Linked DNA regions of Callithrix jacchus. The protein of the gene in region 1 purifies or fractionates together with the protein of each later gene. This does not show direct contact. Links are inferred from orthologs where the notes say so. Each region holds a gene or a part of one and is shown in the gene's direction. Other genes may lie near its edges.

Evidence for each region.
Region 2: the proteins of INSRR (region 1) and HSP90AB1 purify together in Homo sapiens (affinity purification with mass spectrometry; 3 studies listed by BioGRID and IntAct, with this or other methods). This does not show direct contact. The link is inferred for Callithrix jacchus from reciprocal best matches to the Homo sapiens genes INSRR and HSP90AB1.

What each region holds. Positions count from the first base shown.
Region 1 is NC_133519.1:17,249,850-17,259,125, reverse strand, and holds the start of INSRR (insulin receptor-related protein), read left to right. Parts: upstream 1-689; 5' UTR 690-1,148; coding exon 1,149-1,233; intron 1,234-6,001; coding exon 6,002-6,553; intron 6,554-8,119; coding exon 8,120-8,423; intron 8,424-8,524; coding exon 8,525-8,667; intron 8,668-8,876; coding exon 8,877-9,021; intron 9,022-9,276. UniProt on the Homo sapiens protein: Receptor with tyrosine-protein kinase activity. Functions as a pH sensing receptor which is activated by increased extracellular pH. Activates an intracellular signaling pathway that involves IRS1 and AKT1/PKB.
Region 2 is NC_133505.1:52,707,297-52,716,672, forward strand, and holds the start of HSP90AB1 (heat shock protein HSP 90-beta), read left to right. Parts: upstream 1-4,622; 5' UTR 4,623-4,758; intron 4,759-5,242; exon of another isoform or gene 5,243-5,349; intron 5,350-5,644; exon of another isoform or gene 5,645-5,818; intron 5,819-6,774; coding exon 6,775-6,921; intron 6,922-7,795; coding exon 7,796-8,002; intron 8,003-8,104; coding exon 8,105-8,264; intron 8,265-8,467; coding exon 8,468-8,601; intron 8,602-8,735; coding exon 8,736-9,044; intron 9,045-9,376. UniProt on the Homo sapiens protein: Molecular chaperone that promotes the maturation, structural maintenance and proper regulation of specific target proteins involved for instance in cell cycle control and signal transduction. Undergoes a functional cycle linked to its ATPase activity.

The sequences.
Region 1 (9,276 bases):
AGGGAGCAAGCGAAGGACAGCCTCCTAGAGGGTCACGGTTCTCCTCTCTGCCAAGACCCCAGCACGGACGGCCCCCCAAGTTCCCGAGACAGGGACACACAGACTGACCGAGAAGCCTGAGCTCAAGAAAGTGACTAGAGGGAGGCAGAGCCCCACACAGTGATCGCCCTCTTGATCGGGATCTTGGTCAGAATCAAGGTACTAGTCAGTGAGGGAGCCTGGCACTAAGGGGTCTCCAAAGAGGACAAGGCGGCCTCCTCGGAGGCTGAGAGAGGCTCCGAGAGGCCATGGGCTGTCCAGGTTCTCCCGGGTCGAGGCTGCCAGAAGTTACCCCGCAGATGTCAAGGCACCGGGGAGCAGAATCTAGACACAGCGCTCCCCAGAAGCCCGGGCGCTGGCTGCCCCTCCGGCCGTGCAGCCCACTTGGAAGAAGCCTGCGGTGTGGCTAAGGGGTTGGGGGGACCCGTCGCAGCCACAGCGGAGTTTGGGGACGCTCAGTTCTTGACCCACCCTCCCCTGTATTTTGGCCTTATTTCCCCAACAGATCTCTTCTCCCCTCAGTTGTCAGGCTAAATATTTTGGCTTGGCGGGGGAGGGGCGGAGAGAACTGAGAGATCCCTGTGAACCAATCTGTTTCGGCGGGGGGCAGGGAGGGCAGGAGTTGGGCGCGGGCTGGGCGCGGCCCCTGCGTGCCCGCCCTGGGAGAGACCGCAGCCAGCGCGGTCAGCCAGCGCTGGGGGGCCGCGGGCCCAGAAGGATCCAGGGAGACTCTCCCTGTGGAGTCTCATGCTGCCCTTCTTGGGAGCGTCCCCAGCCTTCTGCTCCGCCCTCAGGGTTGGCCGGCCTCTTGGCTTGCCTTTTGCTCAGAACCCTGTGTCATTTTCTGCCTCTGGAGGCCCGAGACTCCACCCGTCACTGTCTGCATCTCTGTCCCCATCTCTGTCTCCACTTGCCTGTCACTATCTTTGTGTCTCTGTGACTCTCATTTCTTGTTTTCTGTCTCCTGCTGTGTGGGATTCCTTGCCTCTGCCCCTGCCCCCTCCGTCTCCTATCTGAACCCTGGTCTCTGTGTCCCTTAGGGCTTGTCAAACTCTTCTCCCCAGAGCCACCAGAAGAGCTGGGACTGGACACAAGCCAGGACTGGGACAATGGCAGTACCTGGTCTGTGGCCCTGGGGAGCATGCCTGCCTGCGATCGTCCTCTCCTTGGGACTTGGCCTGGATGCACTAGAGGGTGAGTCCCCAGAACTGGCTCCCAGACCCCTACCTCTCTCCCAGCCAACTGGGAAGCCAGACATCTGGGCTTGCAGCCACGGAACATCCACTTACTCTGCACTGGACCATGGAGGCTGCGGTTAGCTCTCAGGAGAACCGCCCAGCAGGAGAAGCAGTGAGTTCCCCGCATAAAGGTGTTTTTCCCTCAGCTCCCTCAGAGGGGAAAAGGGCTTCAAAACGGGGACGAATAGATATCTTCCATCCCTACTAGTGAAACTGCAATCCCAGTAAAGCTTGCCTGAAAACCAAAATGAGGCTGTGAGTGTTAGAAGTCATCTCTGGGGCCACAGAATGGGAAGAAGCAGGGTGGGACAGGGAGCTGAGGACCAGGCACCATGAAGTAATGGAGGCAAATGCTGCAGACAGAAGACTGCGCTCAGGGGACTAAGGGTGACGCTAGACTGCGTCCTGAGCCGGCCTCCAGGGCCCTGTCCTGTGGTCCTGTGTGTCCCCCCTCCTTAGGGTCCAATCACTACGGGGTGGAAGGCTGGTTCTGGGGGAAACTGCTTTTCCTCAACTGCTTTTCACAGGGCCTGTCCCCCAGGCTAGATACTGCCCATGATTAGGTTTTAGAGAGTATGGCGGTGAGGCCAGGTAGGGTGGCTCATGCCTGTAATCCCAGCACTTTGGGAGGCCGAGGCAGGTGGATCACGTGGTCAGGAATTCAAGACAGCCTAGCCAAGATAGTGAAACCCCATCTCTACTAAAAATACAAAAAAAAAGAAAAAATAGCCGGGTGTGGTGGCAGGCACCTGTACTCCCAGCTACTCAGGAGGCTGAGGCAGAGAATTGCTTGAAATCACACCACTGCACTCCAGCCTGGGCAACAGAGCAAGACTCTACCTCAAAAAAAAAAGAGAGAGAGATGGAGAGTACGGGGGTGGAGGGGTGGGGGGAACTATACAGACTAAATGACCGTCATGGAGGTACTGGGGGGCCTGATGGAAAGATGAAAAAGAGCTGAGGGTGGAAGCTTCAAAAAGGGAAGGATTAAGGGGTATCCCCTTCCTCAGTCCCACCATTCCCCTCCAGACTGAACCAGCTCAGGAATCCAGCACTTGGTGCCTGCCTGAGGGATCCTGTGATGCCCCTCAGACTGGGGGCTTCCAGAGGCAGGGGAGTCTCCCCTTCTTATGGAGACAGGAGAGCAACAAAATGGGCTGGGTAGGAGGTCCCCTGAAGGGTGCCAGTCACTGAGCCTCTGTATGTAAGGCACAGCACCACTCCCCTAGCCACTGAACCCCCTCCTGTCCTGCACAGCAGATGCCAGCTGGGAGTGTGGTTGTCAGGACAAGAGCACATCCTTGGAGGGGTTCGTATTTGTTCAGGGGACCCAGATGTTCCATTCCCAGTGCAGCTCTGCACAGAGCCGGGTCCTGAGGGAAGGCAGGGGTTAATCTGTGAAGGTTTTAGATTTGTTTTTCCAAATGACTCCCATCAGGGGAGCCCTGGAGAGGCAGGGGCATGATGGGAAGTGGGCGCCTGAGAGAACCCCCATCTGCCTCACAGAGCCTGATTGGCTTTCGCCTGGAAGGGATAGAAGTGTTTTCTCATTCTCTCTCCCTCTATTTTGTGTGTGTACCTGCGTGGGCTCAGACACACACACACACACACACACACACACACACACACACACACAGCTGCTGGGCAGAGCCAAGCTCAGGACTATTAATGACAACAGGGAGAAGATGTGAAGTCACCCCCAGGGAGCCAGCCTGGCCTGCCCACCTCTCTTAACAAACTATCAGGAACCGGGCCTCGTGCTGTGTGGTGTTTGTGATAACCCGGAGGGCTCGGCGGGAAGGGAAGTAGAGGCTGGAGACATTAGCAGGAGCTGAATGTCAGGCTGAAACATTCAGACTTGAATCTTCTGCAGTGGGGAGTCATAGAAGGTCCTCTCGGGAGCAAGTGAGTCCAGGCATCCAGCCCCCTTAGGGGGCTGGGGAGAAAAAGGGAATGGGGCTTGGGCCCTGGTGAAGAAGCCACACACCCACGTCCCCAAGGAAGGAGCAGACTTGGGAATCCAGACATCCATTGTCCACGGTTCCTGGGTTCCCAGTGGTTCCAGCCCTGGACTGGGCACAACTGGGGGAATGCAGAGCTGACCGACAAGGGTCCCACCCTCTTTGCAGGGGATGACAGAGATGTACACAACAATTTTGGAGCAATGCCCTCAGGTAATCTGGTGTTGGCGCTGAACTAAGGGTAGCTGAGCCTGAAGGGGAAGTGACTAACTTGGGGCCAGAGGGTCAGGGAAGATTTGCAGGACAAGGCCTGAAGGCCCCTTCTGAGCCTGGAGGCATAAGTAAGGGATGGTTCATCTACACCCTGCAGTGTCAGGCTGAGGAACTGAAACTTGATTCTTTAGCAATGGGGAGCTCTAGAATGTTCCTTCATGAGTAATCAAATTCAGGGAACAGGCATCTAACTCCCTTAGGACTGAGAGAGACATGGGATCTATGAAGCTCAGACCACTGCTCTCATTCACTCATTCATCAAATATTTATTGAGTGCCAATTTTGTGCCAGTCACTATACCAGCCACTAGGGTACAACATGAATTATACAAATATCCCTGCCCTTATGGCGCTTACAATAAACAAAATAAATGTATTTATATAAATAAATACATATCTATATTAATATATAAATTATATTTTAGCCAGTGTTAAAAATAAATATATGGTCAGGCATGATGGCTGATACCTGTAATCCCAGCACTTTGGGAGGCCAAGGCAGAGGGATTACTTGAGGAGGCCAGGGGTCAAGGGTGCAGCAAACTGTGATCCTGCCATAGTACACAACAATTTTGTAAGAGTGAAACTCTATCTCAAAATATTACACACACACAAATACATTAGTCAGTGTTAAGAATTATAGAGAAAACTCAAGCAGAAGGGGGAGTAGAGAGTGCCACAATTTTATTTTATTTTATTTAGTTTATTATTATTATTTTAGACACTGAGTCTCACTCTGTCGCCCAGGCTGGAGTGCAGTGGTGTGATCACGGCTCACTGCAGCCTTGACTTCCTGGGCTCAAGCAATCCTCCCATCTTAACCTCCTGAGTACCTGAGACTATAGACATGTACCACCACACCTGGCTAATTTTTGTATATTTTTGTAGAGAGGGGGGTTTCACCATGTTGGCCAAGCTGGTCTCGAACTCCTGGGCTCAAGCAGTCTTCCCATCTCAGCCTCCCAAAGTGCTGGGCTTACAGACGTAAAAAGTCAGTTTTAAATAGGATGGTCAGGCCGGGCGTGGTGGCTCATGCCTATAATCCCAGAACTTTGGGAGGCTGAGGTGGGTGGATCATTTGAGGTCAGGAGTTTGAGGCCACCCGGGTCTCGTCTCTACTAAAAACACAAAAACATGGTAAAACCTTGTCTCTACTAAAAATGCGAAAATTAGCTAGGCGTGCTGGTGGGCACCTGTAATCCCAGCTAGTCTGGAGGCTGAAGGAGGAGAATAGCTCAAACCTGGGAGATGGAGGCTGTAGTGAGCTGAGATTGTGCCACTGCACTCCAACCTGGGCAACAGGGTGAGACTCCATCACAGACAAACAAACAAACAAACAAACAAATAAAGTCAGATGGTGAGAGAAGGCCTCATTGAGAAAGGGACATTTGGCCAGACTTAAGGAGGTGAGCAAGCCATGTAGAGGGAGGAGGGTTCTGGCCGGAAGGAATAGGACAAAGACCCCAAGGTGGGAGCTTGGCTGGCTTGTTTAAAGGATAGCGAAGAAGTCAGTGAGGCTGAAGAAGATAAAGAGGATGAAGTCAGAGGGGTTACAGGAGCTGAAATCAGACAGGGCCCTGTAGGCCGTGGTAAGATCAAGAGAGATGGAAGTCACGGGGTCATAAGCAGAGGAGAAGCATGAGCCATCTGTGTTTTGAGATCACTCTGGCTGCAGTGCGGAGAATGGTCCATAGAGGGACAAGGGAGGCATTGGGGAGACAGTCTGGGAGGCTATTACTGTGAATCCAAGGGAAGATGATGATGATGGTGGAAGCTGTGAAGGTGTTCACAAGTAGTTCAGATTCTGTGTGTGTGTGTGTGTGTGTATTTTTATTTTTATTTTTTGAGATGGAAGACAGAGTCTTGCTCTGTCACCCAGGCTGGAGTGCAATGGCACGATCTCAGCTCACTACAACCTCCACCTCCCAGGTTCAAGTGATTCTCCTGCCTCAGCCACCTGAGTAGCTGGGACTACAGACGCGCACCACCACACCCAGCTAATTTTTCTATTATTAGTAGAGACAGGGTTTTACCATGTTGGCCAGGCTGGTCTCAAACTTCTGACCTTATGATCTGCCCGCCTTGGCCTCCCAAAGTGCTGGGATTACAGGGGTGGGCCACCATGCCCTGCCATTTCTGGATACATTTTAAAGATAAACCCACAGGATGCAGAAGGTGAAAAAGAAAGGCATTAAGGATGACTTTAAGTTGGGAGCCGGACTGCAGGAATGTTGCTTTTAACTAAGAAGGGGAAATGGGCTTGGGAGAGATCAGGAGTTCATTTCTGCCTGTGTGGCTCATCTGGTAGAGACCCCGAAGGCTGCAGGTGAGCCCTCCAAGGCCCAGGGCAGAGGCCACCCCACACCCAGAGAAGAGCCGGGCTCCTCACTCATTGTCCTACTGCCAGCGTGCTCCCCTCCAAAGCTGCCGGAGCTGGATGGGGAGCTTGGCCTAGGCTGTACTCACTGCTGAGTGCCATGTGTGCCCACAGTTTGCCCCAGCCTGGACATTCGCTCAGAGGCAGCAGAGCTTCGTCGGCTGGAGAACTGCAGCATGGTGGAGGGCCACCTGCAGATCCTGCTCATGTTCACAGCCACCGGGGACGACTTCCGCGGCCTCAGCTTCCCTCGCCTCACCCAGGTCACCGACTACCTGCTGCTCTTCCGTGTCTACGGACTGGAGAGCCTGCGCGACCTCTTCCCCAACCTAGCCGTCATCCGCGGGACGCGCCTCTTCCTGGGCTATGCCCTGGTCATCTTTGAGATGCCGCATCTGCGTGACGTGGGACTGCCTGCGCTTGGGGCCGTGCTGCGTGGGGCTGTGCGTGTGGAGAAGAACCAGGAGCTCTGCCACCTCTCCACCATTGACTGGGGATTGCTGCAGCCGGTACCTGGCGCCAACCACATCGTGGGCAACAAGCTGGGCGAGGAGTGTGCTGACGTGTGCCCTGGTGTGCTGGGTGCTGCTGGCGAGCCCTGCGCCAAGACCACCTTCAGTGGGCACACTGACTACAGATGCTGGACCTCCAGCCACTGCCAGAGAGGTGGGCACTGGCATACAGTGTTGACTGTAGGGATCAGAAAGAGCAGGGGCTTGTGGGGCTGGGTGGCCACAGAGTGGTATCGGTCAGTACTTTCAGCTGCCACTGTTTTTTAATCCTCACTCTTCCTATAAGGCAGGTAAGGAAACTAAGGCTCAGAAAAGTTAGATAACCAATGTGGCATAAGACAGCCAAGAGGAAGGCTCAAGACGGCATCATGGAGTAGGTGAAGGACAGGTTCAATGTAGGCTTGGGGGAAAAAGAGTAGGCACAAACAGAGAGGAGGCAGCACAAGAAGCAGTGTGGGGCAGTGGCTAAATGCAAAGCCAGAGGGCCTGGGTTCAAGTCTCGCCTCTACCACCTACCGGCTGTATTCACCTAGCCTCTCTGTGGCAGTTTCCTGAGCTGTAAAAAGGATCACTGGGTGGCATGAGGAATGAGTTCTTCTACAAACGTCAGAGCAGCACCCGCGTCAGGGTAGCAGTTCTGTTCCTAATCAGAGTGGCCGCAGCCTAGTGATCCAGGGTCAGCTGGCAGTACTGTAACGGGAGGGTGAGGTTGGGGGTGAGCGGGAGAAGAAAGGAGGAGGCGATCGATGAAGAACTGAGCAGGTGAGAGCAAAGATGTGAGGTGGGACCTTTAGGACGATGCTTGATGCTCGGAGAGGAAAGAGGCAGTAGAGAAAGGGGGAAGGAGAAAACAGAGGGATGGCCGGAGGAAGAGGAAGTGCAAAGTTATAGAAAAGGCGAGGAAGACCTTTCAGAGGTGGGGAGCAGATCTGGGGTCTCCCAACCTGGGGGTCTTTTACTCTCAGCTCCTGGAGGTCAGCTCCTCTCACCCCCAGTGCCTCAGCAGCAGGGCAGGTGGGAGAGTAACCAGATCCCCGCTGTAGCGGCTGCGCCCCACCTCCCTGATGCCTCCCTGTTGGCTGTAAACAGCTGCTGGCATCCTCTCCTGTACAGTGTCAACACGACCTGGCTGACCTTCGCCCCATAGATTGTTCCCACAGCCAGCCAGCTGCCACTATGCAGTTTCTAGGCAATTGGACCCCCAACCCCAAACCCTCCTACTGCTGCTTGGAGCCACTTCTTGTCCAGGGCAGGAAACTGAACTGGGAGGCGGTACACGCAGAAGCAGGGGTAAAACGACGGATATCAGCCCCTCCCTGCACACAGTCTCAGGCCCCTGGGCCTAGCTGCTCAGGAGAGGCTGGCTGGCTCACTATGGCACTATGCCCAGCCATGATCTGGGCACCACGCCTAGACAGGACAGACAGAACAGCAGTCTGGAGAGCAACAACCCTGATGGACAAGGTCACTGCTCTGTCCTGAGCTCTGACACCGCCGACTAGGCACTGTGGGAGGTGGGGAGCCACAGACAGGGCCACAGGCCTTGTCCTTAAGAATCCTGTCAGAGGGAAACAGAGTCAGCAGCCAGTGTCATCTGAATGGAAGGGACCTGGGTGCAGATTGAGTATCATCCCAAGAGAAATGGGGTGGGGCCAGCATTGGAAGGGCAGCCATGACTGAGGGGGCATGGCCAAGGTCTAACACACCACTCTGCCCACAGTGTGCCCCTGCCCCCATGGGCTGGCTTGCACAGCAAGGGGTGAGTGCTGCCACACCGAATGCCTGGGGGGCTGCAGCCGGCCAGAAGACCCTCGTGCCTGTGTAGCTTGCCGTCACCTCTACTTTCAGGGTGCCTGCCTGTGGGCCTGCCCTCCAGGCACCTACCAGTATGAGTCCTGGCGCTGTGTCACAGCTGAGCACTGTGCCAGCCTGCGCTCTGTGCCCGGCCGCGCCTCCACCTTCGGCATACACCAGGGCAGTTGCCTGGCCCAGTGCCCTTCTGGCTTCACCCGTAATAGCAGCAGGTGAGTGTAGGGAGGGTGGGGGGGGCACCCTGGGAGCAGTGAGGAGGCCTGAGGAGGCCCAGGCTGGTCCAAGGCTCAGGACATCTACTTGCTCCTGCTAGCATATTCTGCCACAAATGCGAGGGGCTGTGCCCTAAAGAGTGCAAGGTAGGCACCAAGACCATCGACTCCATCCAGGCGGCACAGGATCTGGTGGACTGCACACATGTGGAGGGAAGCCTCATCCTCAACCTTCGCCAGGGCTGTCAGTACCTACTCTGGGGTCACACCCCTCCTCCTGGCCATGCCCTTCCTCCCAGGCACACCCTTACAATGGGCCCAACTAAGCCCCACTTTCCATCATCCTGGGTTCCAGCCCTGAGGGCCTACCCCCACCTCCCCATTCAGCCCCCTTGCCCCACAGACCCATCACCTTCCCTGCTCCTGCTCCAGCCCCGTCTTCCCCATCCCTAGACAACCTGGAGCCGCAGCTGCAGCACAGCCTGGGGCTGGTAGAGACCATTACTGGCTTCCTCAAAATCAAGCACTCCTTTGCCCTCGTGTCCCTGGGCTTTTTCAAGAACCTCAAGCTAATCCGAGGAGACGCCATGGTAGATGGGTAAGGGTCAGGCCTCTGGCCAGCTCCTTCCATTACACCCCTTCCTCCAACACTCGCAGAACAGTGGTGAAGAGAATGGGCTCTGGAACCGATTTTTCTACTCACTAGCCATGTGGCTCTGAGTAGGTTACTTACATTCTCTGGTCTTCAGTTTTCTCATCTGTAAAATGGGGCTAATATAACATTACTTACTTTGTAGGGCTGTTTCAAATATTACTCAAGTTGTTATGTGTAAAGCACATCAAACAATGCCAG
Region 2 (9,376 bases), on another chromosome or scaffold:
AGCCAGGCATGGTGGTCCCCGCTACTTGTGGGGTTGAAATGGGAGGATCGCCTGAGTCTGGGAGGTTGAGGCTGTGGTGAGCTATGATTGCACCATGGTAAGTCAGCCTCTGTGACAGAGCAAGACCCTGTCTTAAAAAAAAAAAAAAAAAAAAAAAGACTACAATGGTGAAGTGTTAGTAGCTTTCATTTTCTGATCAGGAATCAGACAGGGATGCCTAGAATTACTATTTCATCACTGTTCTGCGATCCTAGCTGGTGCATTAAAACAAGAAATAAGAGATGCAAGAATCAGAAAAGGAGAAACCAAACTGTCATTGTTTTCAGGTGATATGGTTGTACCTACAAAACGCCAAAACATTTACAGACAAATTAAAAATTAGTAAGGTAGCTTACCAACTTGCTAGATCAATAAACAAAAATTAAATTGCTCAATTGCTTTTTGAACTCTGGGAAACAGAAAATGAACAAAAATTACCATTTTCTATGGCATCGAAAAAATAGCAATACTAACAATACAGTGACCAAAAGTTGTACATGAGACTTCTCTTGTGTACTAGTGGAAACGTGAAAATGGAGGCAAAGAGGTGGAGTCCATGCGGGTTGTGCAGACCTGCCCAACTGTCCAATGCGTCTGAATGTCGGGCTCACTAGTACTGGAGGGTGTCAGTTCAGGGTATTCCCTTAGGAATTCAGATCTAAGCCTCATGGAACTGAGAAGGCCCAGAAAGTAACGGGACACACCTGGCAGGCACTGAGCTTAAGAGGCTACTTGTTCTAGGGGTTCAAGGTCCACAGCTACTCTCCATGCTCATATGCCTGGTGTCCTCCTCTGGCCCTCAGTAGTTTATTTGTCCACTGAGCTTTATTTAACTCTCCTCAGTGGCCTCCATGAACCCCAGACTGTGTCCAAGCTGAGTCTCTGTACTCCCTGCAAGACTTTACTGAGCTTTAAAATAGCTTAGGGTCTGTAAAAGGCAAGAGAGTGAATGTTTTAGGGTTTGCAAGTGTTATGGTCTCTGTCACAACTATCGATTTTGACCTTATGGCACAGAAGCAGTCAAAGATGAGGGCTGTTTCAATAAAATTTCTTTTCCTTTTTTTTTTTTAAAGAAGGGGTTTCACCATGTTGGTCAGGCTGGTCTTGAACTCCCAACCTCAGGTGATCTGCCCCGCCTTGGCCTCCAAAGTGCTTGGATTACAGGCGTGAGCCACCACGCCCGGCCCTAAAGTTTCATTAAAATTGGCCAGGCACTGGCTCACGCCTGTAATCACAGCAATTTGGAAGGCTGAAGCAGGCAGATCACCTGAGCTCAGGAGCTGGAGACCAGCCTGGCCAACGTGGTGAAACACCACCTCTACTAAAAATACAAAAATTAGCCAGGAGTGGTGGTGGGCACCTGTAATCCCAGCTACTTGGGGGGCTCAGACAGGAGAATCGCTTGAACCTGGGGTGGAGGTTGCAGTGAGCTGAGATCGTGCCACTGCACAAGAGCCAGACTCCATCTCAAAAACAAAAACAAAAAACTTCATGAAAACAGAAACTCAAATTTCATATAGTTTTTCCACATTAAAATAATATATTTTGGGCCAGGCGCGGTGGCTCATGCCTGTAATCTCAGCACTTTGGGAGGTTGAGGTGGGTGGATCACGAGGTCAAGAGATCGAGACCATCCTGGTCAACATGGTGAAACCCCGTCTCTACTAAAAATACAAAAAATTAGCTGGGCACAGTGGTGCGTGCCTGTAATCCCAGCTACTCGGGAGGCTGAGGCAGGAGAATTGCCTGAACCCAGGAGGCGGAGGTTGCGGTGAGCCGGGATCGCGCCATTGCACTCCAGCCTGGGTAGCAAAAGTGAAACTCCGTCTCAAAAAAAAAAATAAATAAAAAATAAAAAAAAATAATATATTTTGATTTTTTTATTTCAACCATTATAAAGTGTAAAAACCACTCTTGGCCCACAGGACATTCTAAAACAAGCAGCAGGCCCACCAGCTGCAGGCCTTGGGTTGTTAATCCCTGCTTTAGCTGGCCACCCTTCAACAGCAGAAGGCTGGGCTGGGCCTAGGAGATTTCATGGAGGAATACCAGGGATCTTGGGAATATCTATGGTCCCAAGTGCCGCTGGGAATAAGGCTTCAGAAGATGTAGTTTTAAGCCTATCTTTTATAGCCTTCACTTCTCGCACCTTTGAGGTCAGAACGTCTTACCAGTGGCATTTGCTGCCCTCTGTGACCTAACCCCTATCTGCAGGGCTACTTTCAACTCCTTGTGCTTCCCTTTTGGGTTCCTGAGCTACGGTTCCTCTAATGGGGCCCTGTGCCTTGCCATGCTTTTCATGTCATGGCCAGGCTAGCCATGGTCCTAAGACTGCTCCCTTCCCCAGGCTGAGCTGAGGGCCTCTGCTGCTTCTCCCATCCTCCTATGGTTCATACTTGGCCTGCTGCAGTCCCCCATGGGCTGAGGGCTCCCAGTCCTGTGTATGAATCTCTGCATCCCCACAATCACCACACAGTGGAGATTAGTGAGTGTCAATGAGCAGAAAAGGTTGAAGCTTCTGGACATAGCTAGGTAGTCTCCTGAAAGGTTTCCTGGAAGCGAAAGTGGAATTTCTTTTCTTTCTTTCTTTTTTTTTTTTCTTGAGGCAGAATCTGGCTCTGTGGCCCAGGCTGGAGTACAGTGGCGCGATCTTGGCTCACTGCAACTTCTGCCTCCTGGGTTCAAGTGATTCTTCTGCCTAAGCCTCCCGAGTGGCTGGGACTACCAGAGCACACCACCATGTCTGGCTAATTTTTGTATTTTTAGTAGAGACGGGGTTTCACCCTATTGGCCAGGCTGGTCTTGAACTCCTGACTTGTGGTCCACCCGCCTCGGCCTCTCAAAGTGCTGGAATTATGGGCATGAGCCACCACAATGGCATGGTCTTGGCTAACTGCAACCTCTGCCTCCCGAGTTCAAGTGATTTTCCTGCCTCAGCCTCCCACGTAGCTGGGGTTATAGGTGCCCGCCGCTACATCTAGCTAATTTTTGTATTTTTAGTCAAGACAAGGTTTCACCATGTTGGCCAGGCTAGTCTCAAACTCCTGACCTCATGTGATCCACCCACCTTGCCCTCCCAAAGTGCTGAGATCACAGGCGTGAGGCACTGAGCCCAGCTGAGAAAGTGGAATTTATATGCTGGTGTAAGATTTGAGATTTTCCAATTTAGAAAGTCTTCAGGAAGCTGCTGAGTCTTGACACTGAAAGGATCCAGCTCGGGAAGCCCATCCCACAGGAGTGATTCCTGCTTTGGATTTAGGTCCTAGGAGTGAGATCACATCCCTGCTCCATTTGTAGAGCAGGAAGGGAGCTAGTGCAGCAAGGGCTCTGAGAAGAGGGACCCTGGGAGTCACTGAAGCCATTTTCCTGTTGATAGAAAGTGCACACTGACTTTCATCTGCTCACAGGACAGTGAGATTTTGTGAATGCTCTGTAAACTGGGGAGCAGATTTTTAATGAGCTAGGCCCCACTGCTTAGAAGGAGAGGGCATGTTAAAGGATCACACTCCCTCGGGTTTGCGGTTTTGGTCAGGAACAGAGCCTCCAACGCTCCTTCCTATAGACTTCTCCCAGCCATTGGCTTTTTGCAGACCATAAAGGAAGGGAGAAAGGACATAAAATCGGGGTAGTGATGGCGGGCACGTTGAGGTGGACAGTGGACGGGGACAATGAAGAGGAAAGCATGGGACTGCCTTTGTTTTTTGGTATTCAAAGCTTGTTAAGGAATGTAGATGGGTAACAGGGCTGGTGAGGGAGGACGATGTGGGTGGTCGTGGGGAAAACCCTTCCCAGGCATCCCAGGGGTGGGCCAGGAAGGGGAGTAGAAGGACGTCTACAAGGCACGGGAGTGGTTATTCTCTCCTGGAGGGGCTGTGGGTCCAGCAGGATTTCGGATGAGACCTTGGAAAGGCAAGGCAGCTTGCCAACTGGAAGGCAGGCAAAAGGGCTGAACCAGGCCAGACATGGCGGTCTGCAGCTCACTGGCCAGGGGCATGGCCTACCCGCTCTGACGCCAAGGCTAAAGGGGAACAACTTGTCCAGCCGCTCTCTGGCCGGCGTCGTCACGAGGCCTCCATGAGCTCTGACTGCCCTGCAGTGGTTCCTGGAGACTCCTCACCTTCCCATGTCCAAATAGCTGCAAGAGGGAAGTGGGCGGAAAAAAAGCAAAACAGCTTGGGAAAAGGCTTGACGTGCCTGCGTAGGGAGGGTGCATGTTCCTGTGCTCCGTGTACGTGGCGGCCGCAGGGAATGGAGGGGGTCCCTCCAGTAGCGACTCTGTTTCCAGTCTCAGTCTGCATAAGTGGACGCCCGCAGAGGCGCCCCAGGTGCCCGGGTGTTGTGTGATTGACTGGGGGAAGGAGGGGTAGGTCGATCCCTTCCTAACGCTCCATCCCATCCCCGAGGATTGGGCTAGTAGGTCGGACGGTCAGAGCCGGAGGCCGGGCAGAGTCGCCGTAAAGACTCTGCTCCCGCCGGGCAGCAGCCGGAGAGGCGGAGCCTCGCGGGGAGGGGGCGGGCGGGGGCCGGACCGCCGAGACAGACCTGGAAACTGCTGGAAAGGCCGCAGTGCCGCCACCGCCGCCGCGTCTTCCGCCGCGTGCCGGCAAAAAGTCCCCACCAGCCCCGGCCGGCGCCCTCTCTCAACGCTGATCTACCCACCGTAGCTAAGCCTCCGCCCTTCCTGTGCGCCTGGGAGAGTCGGATCTGTGGCTGCCCAAGGTTGGGTCCCGAATTCCAATTCTTTCTACCGGGATGCGAAATGTGTGGGGCAGATTCTAGGAAGAAGATTGCGTCTGGGAGCGGCGGTCGGTGTGGTTAGCCACCTCCGCTTTTTTTAGGTGTCCCCCTCCCCCAGCCCCGCCCTTGGGTGTGGGGACGCCTGCCCCACAGGTTTTTAGGGAGGATAGTGGGTCCTCGTTCGTAGAGACACTGCTTTGTCAAATGAGCACTCCTCATCCCCGCTCTTGAGCGGGTCATGTCCTAGACGTGCAGACATGGGGGCTGTGGTCACAAGCAAACGTGTGAGTGGACCCGCTGCTTGGGTTCTTCTCTGCCCCCTCCCTTATTTCGGACCATGACGTCAAGGTGGGCTGGTGGTGGCAGGTGCGGAGTTGACAAGGGTACTCCTTTAAGGCGGAGGGATCCGGGGGAGGGGGGCTGTGCTGTGCTTCGCCTTATATAGGGCGACCTGGGGCGTGAAATAGCTCTCTTGAGTCGCTCCGGCGCTGCTCTTGTCTGTGTGTGTGTGTGTGTGTGTTGGACAGCCAGCCCACCTTGCTTTCTAATACCTGTGAGCCTTTTCTTTTGAAGGTAAGGCCGAAGTCTCTGCCAGGTTTCTTTTCCTTCACTGCTCTTTCGTTTTGCTGTTTTCTTTTTCTGTTTTTAGGAAGCCCAGATGTCGGGGTGGGCTGTGGATAACGCCCTGGATTTTTACAGGGTGAGGGTGGTAGTAGGTGAGGGCTCTTGAGTTTTGCTCCGTTTTCTCTTGTGTGCTTGGGCGGTGGGCTTTTTTCTCGGCGGCTGCTAGCCGTGGCGAGGTGGGCTGAGGGGTTGGGGGAGTGGGCGGAGGGCAGCTGCACGTGGTGGCCGCGCGGCCCAGGACGCTGCCATTCTTGCTTCTCCACTTCCGGAGGCGGCTACAGGGCGCCGGAGGGGGACCGCAGGGTGGCGGGGGTGCTCGCATGGGGTGACTCAGCACGGCCCTGCGGGACTGGCCTCACCATCTCTCTTTACGGCCGCGTCGAAAGCCTTGGGTGCTTTGTTTCTGTGAGGGCTCACGGTGAGGGAGAAGCGTTTTCGGCCTCCAGCTCCCATATTTCCTCCTTCCAGATCTTTCTTGCAGTCCCCGTGGAGGAGGGGTGGGGAGAGGGCAGGGTCTGGAAGATTCTTGGGCTCCCTCCTCCGCCCCTCCTCGAGAGCTGAGATTGTTCTGGAAGCTTCTGGATTCTGGCGCCCCGCCCCGGTGCCCGGATGCTGGGGAGAAGGGAGGGTACATGGTGGCGTCCCCTCCTCGCGTGGCCCCTGCCGATGCATGTTCAACAGTGACGAGAGTCGGCCCGGTGGCTACGGCCACCATCTTTCCTGTGTTGGGTTTGGTCCTGTACTGTAATTCTGTGCTGTAAAGGGGTCGTGGTTGAGCTTTTGGTTTTTCGATTTTTTTGTCTGGATTTAATTGCTCCTCGGGCTGGTGGCCTACGGATCTGATTATTCCTCTTTGCCGTGTGGGGCAGAAGTCCTGCACCTTAGGCTGATTTTAGGAAGACACCTCAGGGGGACCGGTTTAACGTTAGTGCCATTTTAATCTTAAACTACTGGTTACTTTGACCTCCCCCAAATATAAAGAACCGTAGCTAGTGATTTTCACATTTAAATTTGCGCAAGGATTACCAGGGATCCCTAGATACCTGGGTTGGACCAGGATTATGAGTTTCTGCCATACTACCAGGTGACGCTGAGCCTGTTGGCCACCATTCTTTAAGTAACTGGGTTCTGTGACATTTGGTTGAAGAACATTGTAGCTTATTTTCTTTTTCCTTTTGATTTGGCTTCCCACTTAGTGTGTAGCCTGAGAGCTTTAAAGAGAATGCTTTTTTCGTCTCTTGGGAAGGGATAATAGTACTCAGCTTAAACCACCACTCAACTCACGTTTTAAGGTTCCAATGACAGGCAACCATTAGGATTTCTAAATATGGGGCCTTCATATTCTTTTGTAATTAATTACTATTTTTATTTTAGATGCCTGAGGAAGTGCACCATGGAGAGGAGGAGGTGGAGACTTTTGCCTTTCAGGCAGAAATTGCCCAACTCATGTCTCTCATCATCAATACCTTCTATTCCAACAAGGAGATTTTCCTTCGGGAGTTGATTTCTAATGCTTCTGATGTAAGTGCTCTGGTTTTCACATTTCATATATTTTAACATTCTGGAAGAAGGAGAGGGGTAGTTTGGCCTTTGTTGGGGACTACTGTTGAAGAGGTAAACCTGCAACTATTCCAAAAAGATTTGTCTTACTTTGTGGCCATTTTGAAGTTGGAAGGGACTATGTCCAGGATAAGTGGGTTGGTGTAACTATGGTTCTAATGCCTCAACATAAGGGGCAATCAGATTGAGGCTGACAGAAATACACCAAGATTTTCTTTGAAGATAAGGGCTTTAACAAAACAAAAGTGGGCGCAGTGGTTCATGCCTGTAATCCCACTACTTTGGGAGGTGGATCATGACTAGCCTGGAGTTCAAGACCAGCTTGGCCAACATGGTGAAACCCTGTCTTTACTAAAAATAGAACAACAACAAATTAGCTGGGCATGGTGACGAGTACCTGTAATCCCAGCTACTTGGGAGGCTGAGGCAGGAGATTCACTTGAACCCAAACCCAGGAGGCAGAGGTTGCAGTAAGCTGAGATTGCGCCACTGCACTCCAGCCTGGGCAACAAGAGCCAAACTTGTCTCAAAAAAAAAAAAAAAAAAAATTGGTCGAGCTGTTGGCTCCACACCTGTAATGCCAAGGCAGGAGAATCACTTGAATCTAGGACTTTAAGGGCAACATAGCAAGATCTTGTTTCTGCAAAAAAAAAAAAAATATTAAGTGGCCATGGTAGCATGTGCCTGTAGTCCAGCTACGTGGGAGTGTGGCTTGAGCCTGGGAGGTCCAGGCTGCAGTGAGCTGTGATCCTTAACATTGCACCGTAGCTTGAGCGACAGAGCCAGAGCCTGTCTTAAAGGGAAAACAAAAGCAAATTCCTATTTGTATTTTCAGGCCTTGGACAAGATTCGCTATGAGAGCCTGACAGACCCTTCAAAGTTGGACAGTGGTAAAGAGCTGAAAATTGACATCATCCCCAACCCTCAGGAACGTACCTTGACTTTGGTAGACACGGGCATTGGCATGACCAAAGCAGATCTCATAAATAATTTGGGAACCATTGCCAAGTCTGGTACTAAAGCATTCATGGAGGCTCTTCAGGTATGTGCAGTTTTGCAGGCACACACCATTCATATTTGTCAGTGTGCTTTGGTTTGTTGCTTTTCGAAAACTTGTGTTTGACTTTAAATAACTTGTTGGCAGGCTGGTGCAGACATCTCCATGATTGGGCAATTTGGTGTTGGCTTTTATTCTGCCTACCTGGTGGCAGAGAAAGTGGTTGTGATCACAAAGCACAATGATGATGAACAGTATGCCTGGGAGTCTTCTGCTGGAGGTTCCTTCACTGTGCGTGCTGACCATGGTAAGCTCTCCCGTTACAAGTTAAGCTGGGTTGGAGTTTTCTGGGCTTGTGAAGTGGCAGAAATTTTTAGCATCCTGTTTGTAAAGCAGTTGAAATTATAGCAGCCTCGCTAATATACTTTTTTTTTTTTTTTTTTGGCTTGGTGAAGTCTTAACTGCTTTTATATTTTCACCCTGTTACATGCTTGTGACTGACTCTTGTAGGTGAGCCCATTGGCAGGGGTACCAAAGTGATCCTCCACCTTAAAGAAGATCAGACAGAGTACTTAGAAGAAAGGCGGGTCAAAGAAGTAGTGAAGAAGCACTCTCAGTTCATAGGCTATCCCATCACCCTCTATGTGAGTGTGGACTTTTAAACCTTTTTCACTTAACGTGCAGGGTGTTTCCTGTTCTGGAGTCATCATGGGCCCTGGCTTTTGCTTTCCCTGTTAGTGGTTAGTACTCAAGGCTAACTTTTGTTTTTGTTGTTTAGTTGGAGAAGGAACGAGAGAAGGAAATTAGTGATGATGAGGCAGAGGAAGAGAAAGGTGAGAAAGAAGAGGAAGATAAAGATGATGAAGAAAAGCCCAAGATTGAAGATGTGGGTTCAGACGAGGAGGATGATAGTGGTAAGGATAAGAAGAAGAAAACTAAGAAGATCAAAGAGAAATACATTGATCAGGAAGAACTAAACAAGACTAAGCCTATTTGGACTAGAAACCCTGATGACATCACTCAAGAGGAGTATGGAGAATTCTACAAAAGCCTCACCAATGACTGGGAAGACCACTTGGCAGTCAAGGTGAGAAGCCCTTGCACATTGGCTCAACATACAAATATGGAGAGGAGTGAGTAGGTGGCGTTTTGGCAGGTAATAGACACATGGAACTTGTCCTCCTGATCACAGAAATGTTGAGAACCATGTGATTTCATTGATTACCCTGTCACAGTGAGGAGCTATCCTTCCTAATGACCTCACTTTGTCTTCTGATGGTAATCTTGGTAATGTCTGCCCCTGATCATTGAGAGCATTAAGGCTCGGTTTTCTAGAGAGCTGCCTGTTGTGTGTGCTTTGTCCTTTAGGCTTAGGGAGGATCATTGTTCCACTTTTAGGTAATTTGTTGGGGCTAAAAG